2 linked regions of the Daphnia pulex genome follow. The protein of the gene in region 1 purifies or fractionates together with the protein of each later gene. This does not show direct contact. Links are inferred from orthologs where the notes say so. Each region holds a gene or a part of one and is shown on either strand. Other genes may lie near its edges.

Region 1 (5,582 bases):
GCTTGAAGTTTTTGTTTTAAAATTCAAAAGCATCGTGAAATTACAGTTGCCTATTTTAGCTGGGACAAAGAACAAGCAAGACAACAGTGGAACAAATGCAACCCCTAGTACTGAGCCTCCTTCTTCTCCTTCGTTAAGTTGGTCACAGAATGGAGCTGCACCACCGTCATCTTCACCGTCATCTGCGAATGAAACGAAACCGGAAGATACTCGGTCATCTTTAGTTCTTCTAGATGAAAAAGAGAAAACGATGAAGTTTGCTGTTCGAGTTGCGGGACCTGTCTTCAGCATCACTGAATGTCGAAGCTTAGTTAAAACGCTTGTGTGCGGTGTGAAAACCATCACCTGGGGATGTGCGGCCTGCAAAACTCCACTCGATACTACGACTAGTGTTGCTACTACAGGCAAGAATTTGCAACCTAAAGAAACGGTGATATTCATCCGTTTGGTGCAGTGGGCGATGAAAGCACTTGATGTGTACGCCTTAAATATTCCGAGTGCGGTCGGAGCGGAGACCTCTGGCAGTCTTAATAGCACCGTCGTTGGCTTTCCGGTCGGTGGGGCTTCCGCTGCTCGGCCGACTGTTCCAGCACAAACTATTCGCTCTAAAGAAGAAAAAGAAGTATTGGAACATTTTGCTGGTGTTTTCGCCATGATGAATCCGCAGACTTTCAAGGAAGTATTTGCCACAACAATTGACTACGTGGTAGAGCGCATTTACCGCAATAGCGCTTTGCAGGTAGTTGCAAATTCATTTCTTGCAAACCCTTCCACCTCCGCTGTTTTCGCCACCATCCTCGTCGAATATTTGCTGAATCACATGGAAGAAATGGGATTGAACATGGAGCGTTCTAATCTTTATTTGAAGTTGTTCAAACTTGTGTTTGGTAGCGTTTCTTTGTTTGCTGCGGAGAATGAACAAATGTTAAAGCCACATCTACCGCACATTGTCAACAAATCTATGGAATTAGCTTTGAGTGCTAAAGAGCCCTACAACTATTTCCTCCTGCTGCGGGCACTTTTTCGATCCATCGGCGGAGGTAGTCATGACCTCCTTTATCAAGAATTTTTGCCATTGCTTCCGAATCTTCTTCAAAGTCTAAACAGTCTTCAAAGTGGACTTCACAAGCAGCATATGAAGGATCTCTTCGTGGAACTTTGCCTGACTGTTCCCGTGCGGTTATCTTCACTCCTTCCTTACCTCCCGATGCTTATGGTAATAAAATTATGAGTTTTTTTTTTATTATTATTCTTTCTTTTCTAAATTTGTTATTTATTGTTTCCAATTTTTTTATAGGATCCTCTTGTGTCTTCGCTGAATGGTTCACAGACTTTGGTGAGCCAAGGTTTAAGAACCTTAGAACTCTGTGTCGACAATCTTCAACCAGATTTTCTTTACGAGCATATTCAGCCAGTAAGAGCTGAGTTGATGCAAGCATTATGGCGTACTTTGAGGAATCCAAACGACCAGATCGCACACGTTGCCTTTAGAGTCCTTGGTAAGTTTGGAGGTGGTAATCGTAAAATGATGGTTGAACCGCAACGACTAGACTATTGGGACAAAGAGTCTGGTCCTTGCATCGTTATCCACTTCCAAGAATTGAAACAGCCCGTTTCCCTGCCCGTCGAGAAGATTATGGAGACAGCGTTTTCTGCTTTGAAATCAAGTAGTACCGAGCCATTTTACCGAACGCAATGCTGGGAAGTAGTTCGTTGCTTTCTGCTATCTTCACTTCACCTGGATGACGATCGTCTCACAATGCAGCGTTTATTATCTCATCATTCGTTCTTGGAAGGAGATATTCATCCTGTGCAAAGTCCTTCGTTCCAGTGCAGTGACAAGCAAGCAAGACATGTACATCAAACGGCGGTTACTGCCATGTTCGTCGCAGCAGCCATAAAGGAGTTGAGGCAAGCAGTTCTGCCCACTATGGTATCTCTAGTCCGACACTACACTCTTGTTGCCGTCGTCCAGCAGGCGGGGCCGTTTCCTATGCTTGTTCCTGGTCGCTCTGCCCAACGGATTTTAGGCATGGATCCACTCGTGTTGGTTGATGCATTGGCTACGATTATGGGCCACGAAGAAAAAGAACTTTGCAAACCTGGACACTTGGCGCTAGTGTTGATGCTTGACACTGCATCTATTGTGCTCGGTTCCCAAGAGAGAGCTTGTAAACTTCCTCTAATGGAATATCTGGCAGAACGAATGTGCAGCCTTTGCTACGACAGAGCTTGGTATGCAAAATTGGGCGGTTGCATTGCCATCAAGTTCCTGTTTGAACGAATGGCATTCAAGTGGGTTCTCGAACATCAGTATGTATTCCTAAAGGCCCTCTTGTTCGTCATGATGGATCTCACTGGAGAAGTGTCGAGCGGCGCTATTGACATGGCCAAAGCCAATTTGGAGAAAATGCTTCTTTTATGCGCTACTCCGCTGCCAGAATCGTCTCCTTCTCCGGAAATTTTGTCTGCGCAAAAGAAAAGTCTGCATGACGTGACCCATGAACTCGTACGACAAGTGACCAGTCCAAATTCAACTGTACGTGAGCAAGCCATGCACCTATTGCAGGTTTTGGCACGGATAACAAACCAAACACCAACGGCCATCATGGAACCACACAAGGAAGTGTTGGCTGACATGATTCCGCCTAAAAAGCATTTACTGAGACACCAGCCAGTCAACGCCCAAATTGGGTTAATGGACGGTAACACCTTCTGCACGACGCTGAAACCCCGACTGTTCACCATTGATCTTAATATTGTCGAGCATAAGGTTTTCTTCCACGAACTACTATCGCTGTGCGAGGTGGACGACACTGTTCTTCTGAAATTACCTTGCTACAAGTCCGTGAGCAACTTGACCCCATTGAGAAAATCCGCTTTGCAAGCGTTAGCCGCTTGCCACTACATCACTCAGTGCCGAGACAAGATCTTGAATGTTATCTTCAAAGCTTTGAGTTGTAACAATGCTGAACTTCAAGAAACGGCATTCTCCTGTATGAAGAAGATACTGGTGGGCACTCAGATCGAAATGGAGACTGTACATACCGCCGTTCGTCCGTTGTTACTCTTGCTGGGCGATTATCGCAGTTTGTCTACCAATGTCATATTGCGCTTGTCTCACACGACTCAACTTTTCCCCCACGTATTCAACGAAAAGCTTTGTGAACAACTTCTTCAGCATTTACGCAAGTGGCTCGAAGTAGTGATCGTGGCGTTTAAAACCGGAGGAAATCGTCCAGTTGCTACCCAGACTAGCCACGGACCTTTCAGCAGCAGCAGCTTGTGCAGCAATGAAGTGAAGGTTGCAATTGGCATCATTGGACTTTTTCATCAGATTCCAGCTGCTTCGGCAAGATTCCTGGAAATCCTGTGCAAATTAGTGCTGCAAACAGAACGTGCCTTAGGATTAGAACCGGGCAGTCCTTTCCGAGAGCCCTTAATCAAGTTTCTTCTGCGATATCCTACCGAAACAATTGATTTACTTTTACGGGAAGATATCATTGCCGATGCTGATTGGAATCGGTTCCTTGAACATTTTGTTCGCCACAGTGAAGGCAAACCGTTTCGTGACGCTATTAAGGCCAACACAAATCGATTGGTTAATTTTGTGCTTGGCGGTCTGCCTTCGGAGTCTACAACACCCAAACCTCATGCACTGCAAGTGACGGTTCGAATCTTGCGCATCATGATCTGCAAGGACGACCAGTGGATATCTGAACAGCCCGATTTAATAACCGTGCTGACTAAAGCTTGGTGTTCGGGTCGCTACGAGGAAAAGAAAACTACGAGCCTTTCGATCGCTGAGCGAAAGGAGCAACGTCAACTGGCCAAAATTTTACTGTATTACTTTCAGCAGCACCCTGAAGAAGTTGAATTACTCTTCCATTTGATGCGCGCGTTGTGCGATCGCACGATTCCCGATTTCTACTTTTTGAAAGAATTTTTGGAAAAAACAGTCGGCCAATCATATGGAGCTGACTGGAAGCGAGCGTCTTTTTTCAAGTTTGTCGAGCTTTTCCGAAATCCCAACTTGGGACAAGAACTTAAAGCCAAAATTCTCCAACACATCATAATTCCAGGATTTGCCGTCAGTTTCGAGCGAGGAGAAGGAGAAATTCTCATTGGTACGCCACCGACCCCCGACCAAGATAACAGTGAAAGCGTTGTCAGTGTTTTCATCAATAAAGTGATTGATCCAGACAATCCTTTTGGAACTTCGGACGCTGTTCGAATCCTGTTGCTTCAGCTGAGCTGTTTGTTGGTTGAACAAGCTTCGCAACATATTCACGACGCCGCCAATAAACGCCAGGGAAACAAACTACGTCGCCTTATGACTTTTGCATGGCCGTGTCTGTTGAGCAAGAACTGTGTTGATCCAACCACCCGTTACCATGGCCATTTGCTGTTGAGTCACATCATTGCAAAGTTCGCCATTCACAAACGAATTGTGCTGCAAGTTTTCCACAGTTTGTTGAAGGCCCACGCTGTTGAAGCTCGCAATGTTGTCCGACAAGCACTGGAGATTCTAACGCCAGCTATGCCTCTTCGCATGGAGGACGGAAACACCATGCTTACCCACTGGACGAAGAAAATCATTGTTGAAGAGGGTCACACAATTGCTCAACTGGTGCACATTCTCCAGTTGCTGGTGCGTCATTACAAAGTGTATTATCCAGTTCGACATCATCTGGTGCAGTACATGATAACCTCGATTCAGCGCCTGGGATTTACTCCAACGGCCACGCTAGAGCACAAGAAGTTAGCCGTCGAATTGGCCGAAGTTGTCCTCAAGTGGGAGCTTCAGCGTATGAAGGATGAAGCTGATTCAGGAGGTGAGTCCTGCGATGAGACCATGCCATCTGGATCCGTAAAACGATCAGGAAATGACGGACTTCCAGAAGCAAAGAAGCCACGACTTGCCTCATCTTCTTCTTCAGGGAAAATGCTGGAAGTCAGTAAACCGATTGAGAAAACTCACTGTGATGCCATAGCAAACTTTTTATTAAGACTGGCGTGTCAGGTATGCTTTGTGTGTATGTTTTTGAGTTAGTATACGTGCTAAAATGTTTTTTCAATCTCTTATCAGGTGAACGATGCAACCTCGACCGCCAACAGTTCGGGCGAGCAGTTATCTAAACGATGTGTGGCTCTTCTGAAGATGGCTTTAAAACCCGATGTTTGGCCAAATTGTGAACTGAAACTAGCTTGGTTCGATCGACTGTTTCAGACTGCCGATTCTCCCGCAGCCGCTACTGCGGCCGCATCGGCAGCAGCAGCCGCTTCTGCTCCAAATTTCACCAATATTTGTACAGCTCTCGATTTACTAACATTCCTGTTAAGTATTTTGCGGAAGGAACAAATCCTGGCAGGCTTCAAACCACTTCAACGCGGGCTTTCTTCACTCATGAATTGCACGAATCCCAAAGTAATTAAATCTTACCCAATATGTCTTGTAACAATTTTCTAATATTTTGGGATATTTTGTTTCTTTAGGTTATTCGATGCCTTCATGGACTTCTTTCTCGTCTTATGTCAGTGTTTCCAACTGAGCCAACCAACTCAAATGTGGCCTCGAAGCA
Region 2 (5,147 bases), on another chromosome or scaffold:
ATCTCCATCATTGGATCGATTTGATCTTTGGCTTCAAACAGACTGGACCATCTGCGATAGAGTCCATTAACGTTTTCCATCCGTCCACTTACGCCGGATTTGATACTACAGAAGGAGTCAATGACGATCCGATTGAACGGAATGCGAAACTCACTATGATTCGATCATACGGTCAAGTGCCTCGCCAACTCTTCCGCCAGCCACATCCTATGAGCGTCCAGCCCCTTAACGCTAAATCCATTCGCCGGAGTCGCAATCTCTTGCCGTCTGTCGAACACCTCCAATGGGGCTGTTATGTGGGCTCGCCGTCCTGTCAGGCTCCTGTATTGAAACATAAAGAATCTTTTGCTATTCCAGTCCATTCCTTCCTCCCGTTGCGAACTGGAGATACTTACGCTCTGGGCCCTTTCACCACCGCCATTCTGTCCCATTCGTACGACAAGGATTCGTTCCTTGGCCGACCGACAGGGATTCTAGGGGTGGCATTGATCTCTTGGGGTCAATCGGACGGAATTGTAAGAATCAAAATCCGGAAGGATGAACCTGTGAAACCTCTCTTTCAATCGGAAGCGCACGATAGCGTGATTTTATGCTCAACTTTACCGGATTACAACAGGATCTGGGTTGCCTATCGATCTGGAATCATGCGGGTCTATCCTTTTCTGTTTGACCCACTGAAACCTCATTTTGAGTTGACTGGACCGCCGACAGTTCTCTCTGGTCACGTTGGACCCCTTCAACAGCTCGTCTTGTGTTCGTCGTTCAGCCTCGCTGTCTCCAGTGGAAGTGATGGATCAATTATCCTCTGGGATCTTCATTCTTTGAATTTTATCCGTCAGCTCACTCCAGGTAATTCAACTTCAACATCCATCGACCCAACATTAAAATTTTTTTAAATTGCCTATAGGTCTATCAAATGACCGGAAAGATATAATACTACCAGTTTCTCAATTGGCCGTCAGTCGTAATACAGCTGATATTGCATGCGCTGTCAATCTGGACGATCAGCAGTCTCGGCTGGAATTGAGGTCAGTCAATGGGCATTTGATCGGCATGACAACGACGAATCCTCTCATTACTTCGTTGTGTTTCTCATCTGCTCCCGAGGGAATTTCTATCAATGTGGTAGCTGCCGGGCTATCCAATGGTCGCATTAGGTAATTCATCAACTAATAAGTTTGTTTTTGTTCCTACTTGTTAATTGTTTTCTCACTACAGATTGTGGGATACTTGGACCCTAAATGTCGTACGAGATATCATCACTGACTCCTCCTTGTCGATAGTCAGTTTGACATATTCGAGCACTTCACAGCATTTACTAGCCGCTAGAAACGATGGTTCTCTGCTAGCTTGGGATAGTCCACATAACCACAAAAAATCGCCTCGCTTCCCACCCTTTATCAATTTAACTTTGCAATGATGATACTTTTCAAACCCGTAGATATGATATGTAAACGCGATTAAAGAGGAGATTTTCATGATTTTAATCACAGGAAATTCAAAAAAGGATAGAATCTCTTGAAAATTTTTATAAATTTAGCTTTATAATGTTACACATGCAAATCTGAATATAATTACGGTAATCTATTCGCAAGAAAGTGATGAAACTTCATTTTTAAACGAAATTTTGTCTTTATTGGCTCGAACTAAGCACATAACAAGGATGTATCCAAATCACTCTCAGCTTATTTGCACAGCGAATGAATCAGAGCAGGGAGAGGGTGAGGTGGAAAAGTACGAAAAGAGAGTCGAATGAATCAGGACTCATGACACAAAATTGCGATTTCCTAGGTCGCAGAAGGTACAGAGACACACAAACAGTCAATATGAAGCAGATCTCAATAATTTAGCTAGACAGATGTTTTCATCTTTTTGTTGGACCGTTTCCCTTTGGTACTGTTTTCCCTATCAGAACCTTCAGAATCTTCCTGATACTTTCCAGCCTCAGCTTGGGTATGCATGTCACCTACATTAAGCATTTTGGCTTTCTCCAGGGAGCGAACTTAACAAAGAAAAGGTTAAATGTTGTACTGATGCAAAACAAAAAAAGTAAACATACTTTGAGTTTGAAGGACTTCATTTTGCCTTTTGAGATCATCAATATCCTGCTGGTGGGCTGCATTTTTCCGTCTCATGAATTGTATATAATCAGCTGCCTTCTTCAGTATTTGAGCACGGCTCGCCTGAAACCGAGAGCCATCCTACAATTTTATTAAGTGAGATTTGCTCGACACTTATGTTTTACTTTTTCTCCCTGTAACGAGGGAACTGAATCTCGAAGTCCACTGAAGCTATCCTTGATGTGATCTCTCCTTTTCCGTTCCAAGGCATTATGGTGTGCTCTTTTGTCAACCTGTTCATCCAAGCACACAAAGTGTTGATAAAGAGCTCTGTGCCAGGTAAAACACACAAATAATATCTTACTTGCTGAGAATACTGTCCAGAGCCTCGTGAATAGCCACCTCCATCCTCCTCCTACAGCAGATGATAGAAAGTAAGTTTTAGTAAGTGAATGTTTTAAAAGAGGTCAATGCAGCTAAACCATCTTGTTCAACAACTTACATCACTTTCGATATCTATATCTCGTTCATCATCGCTCATCGATGGGGAAACGGCATAGGACATGGTCGTAATCAAGCCAGACAAACTAGGGTTACCAACAAGAAGACTTCAAGCTAAGGGATCAAAATTTGCAGATTAGGGCCAAAACACTTCCAACGCAATAGTTACGTTCAAGGTGATCGAGATAAGAAACTGCTATACCAATTTGCTTAAAGCCTGATAGTCGATTTCTCTTTGTGTAAACACGTCACGAGTGTGGGCAAAGTGTTGTATTCACGAGACTAAACAGCAAGTGAACAGCGCATCGAGTTGTTGAGGTGCACTTGCGATGTTGCCAAATGAGCGCAATTCATTCCAACAGCAAAATTGTTGCCAACTTGCTAATTTCGCCCGGCAACAAGGACGACATTACGACAAGGATATTTATAATTCTTTACAAAATTAAAACAAAAAACTCCTTAGTCCTTATTATAAAAATTTGACGGATTCTGACATTTTTATTTGATTGGCGGAGGATCACTCAGAGTAAATGCGGCAAATAATAAACTATTGTGCTTCAAACACATGTTTGATGACAAAGTTGAAAATTATGGAATGCAAAATCTCTTCTCCAATCAAGGTGTGGTCACATATAAAAGGTGCGCAAGAATATACCTGCGTTAGAAGAACCACACGCGAGAAACGCTTCAATGTCGAGCGAGTAGTGAACCGAGGAGGTCATCCACTTGACTGTTTCCACATTCCACTAACTGCGATACGCTGATTTTGGGTGCGGGCAAACATAGTTTTAAAATGTCTCGCCAATAACACGCCCAAAGAAGTATAGTGACCTCCACATTACATTAGCGTTTTTTAAAAAATCCCAAAATGATAAATGATGCCCAATATTCAACCTAACACGCTAAAACAACTAAAACCTTATAACTTATATTTGATTGTCTTGGCTTCTCTTGACTGAAGGTTGTCGTCACACACGTGCATGCCGAGTGTACACCCATCACGGAGAAGAGAGTCCATATGAATAGGAAAAAATTCAGACCCAAAAAACCTTTGAGCGCTAGACCACGTATATCTTATTCCATGATTAGAATCCCGAGGCGATTGTTGCGCCAAAAGGAGAACCAGAATCTCTTGTGTTAAGGTCATTGTAGGAAAAAATTTATAAAATGGGATACTCGTTATAGTGCGATTCCTCCTCACGTCGTACCTTCTTCCAAATGGGAAAAAAAAACCGGAAAGTTTGAAGGTTGCGAATGGGGTGTGTCGGATGAGACTTGAGATGTCCATGAGATGATATTCATTGGAAAAACTAGAAGAATCGTGTATAACCAGCAGCAGCAGCAAAGCCTTGATGGTCAGTCGCGTTGTCTTCACATTTGATGCCATTCCTTGTTTAGTGTTGAGTTGGCGTCGTGCAAGTTGGATGTGCTGTTTTAACCTTTCCATCAACTTCTTTTTGTTCACGGATAACAGGAATTCAAAAGTGGATTGAACCGCGTCATTTTGGTATGAACATTTCATTCAATTACAGACTTGTATTTAAAACAAAATTTCCTTTATCTTACACCGTTCGGAACAGAAATTGAAGAAATGTCTGCTGAAGAGGATTACAGTGCTGGTTTGTTGGAGAATTCCCATAACAAAAAGCCGACTCACTCTCAGGTTATCAAAGAAGTAATCAACTGGTTTTACGGGCCCGATGCAGGAAAGCTCAGTAAAGAATGGAGCAAACGACTTTTGCGGCCGAGACCGCGTTTGACGCAGGCACTCAGCACCACCACGCCGGAATATGTCACGTACGACACGGCCAATTACCCCGTACTACACGGGCCATCCGCCAGGATTCCCTATCACGTCATCATATTAGGAGGTGTTTTAATCCTGGCCGTCTTTTATCTTTTACTTTTCCTCGTCATCAGTCGTTTACGGTGTTGTAGAAAGGTAAACCAGTTATTACACTATTTCTTGGGGAATTTCATTATGAAATATTCGCCATTTTTACAGAATCAACAGCGAACGGCTCGCCGGAGGAGCAGGGAGACTTGGAGGGAAGCCAATGGATTGTATCACATTGAAGGAGATGTGCTGGGCAGTGGTAATGTCCATTCTTCTTCGCCCAAATTGGGTGAAACAGACGATTCGCCACCTCCGTCTTATGAAGACGCTATGATTGCCTGCGGCCATAGCCCTCAACAGTTGCCGGCGCAAGCTAAAACCAATCAGGCAACACCTTCGAATGTTAATAACGACGAAGATGTCGAATTAAACTAATATTTCCAATCATAACGCGCTTGAATGAAAGGTATGAGTAAAGACTATTAGCAGTATTGTGACTTATATAGGTGGAACTAACACGGGAAAAACTTACTCAACGTGCATGTTACATGTTTTTCTGGAAGGTCTTTCAGCATCTGGTTGTCCTTAAGTGTATATATATTATACAGTACACTATTTGTGAGGGTGCATATACTTGGTGGCGTCTTTTTAAAAGGATGAAATCATTTCATTTTTATGTTTATTATGTCATTTCCGTTTCTCGTTGCACAAATAAACCCATTTCGAGATGTTTACTATTATAAGTTTGT

What was found. The genes of interacting proteins can lie anywhere in the genome.
Region 2: the proteins of transformation/transcription domain-associated protein-like (region 1) and protein max-like purify together in Homo sapiens (affinity purification with mass spectrometry; 6 studies listed by BioGRID and IntAct, with this or other methods). This does not show direct contact. The link is inferred for Daphnia pulex from reciprocal best matches to the Homo sapiens genes TRRAP and MAX.

Annotation. Positions count from the first base shown.
Region 1 is NC_060018.1:6,522,367-6,527,948, reverse strand, and holds part of transformation/transcription domain-associated protein-like, read left to right. Parts: coding exon 1-1,216; intron 1,217-1,297; coding exon 1,298-5,023; intron 5,024-5,089; coding exon 5,090-5,428; intron 5,429-5,496; coding exon 5,497-5,582. UniProt on the Homo sapiens protein: Adapter protein, which is found in various multiprotein chromatin complexes with histone acetyltransferase activity (HAT), which gives a specific tag for epigenetic transcription activation.
Region 2 is NC_060026.1:15,126,348-15,131,494, forward strand, and holds protein max-like, read right to left. Parts: upstream 2,938-5,147; 5' UTR 2,764-2,937; intron 2,676-2,763; 5' UTR 2,626-2,675; coding exon 2,563-2,625; intron 2,476-2,562; coding exon 2,425-2,475; intron 2,354-2,424; coding exon 2,246-2,353; intron 2,202-2,245; coding exon 2,060-2,201; intron 2,003-2,059; coding exon 1,851-2,002; 3' UTR 1,613-1,850; downstream 1-1,612. Other genes in the region: lysosomal-trafficking regulator-like, read left to right, coding at 1-849, 908-1,157, 1,219-1,420; uncharacterized protein LOC124205464, read left to right, coding at 4,153-4,503, 4,567-4,833. UniProt on the Homo sapiens protein: Transcription regulator. Forms a sequence-specific DNA-binding protein complex with MYC or MAD which recognizes the core sequence 5'-CAC[GA]TG-3'. The MYC:MAX complex is a transcriptional activator, whereas the MAD:MAX complex is a repressor.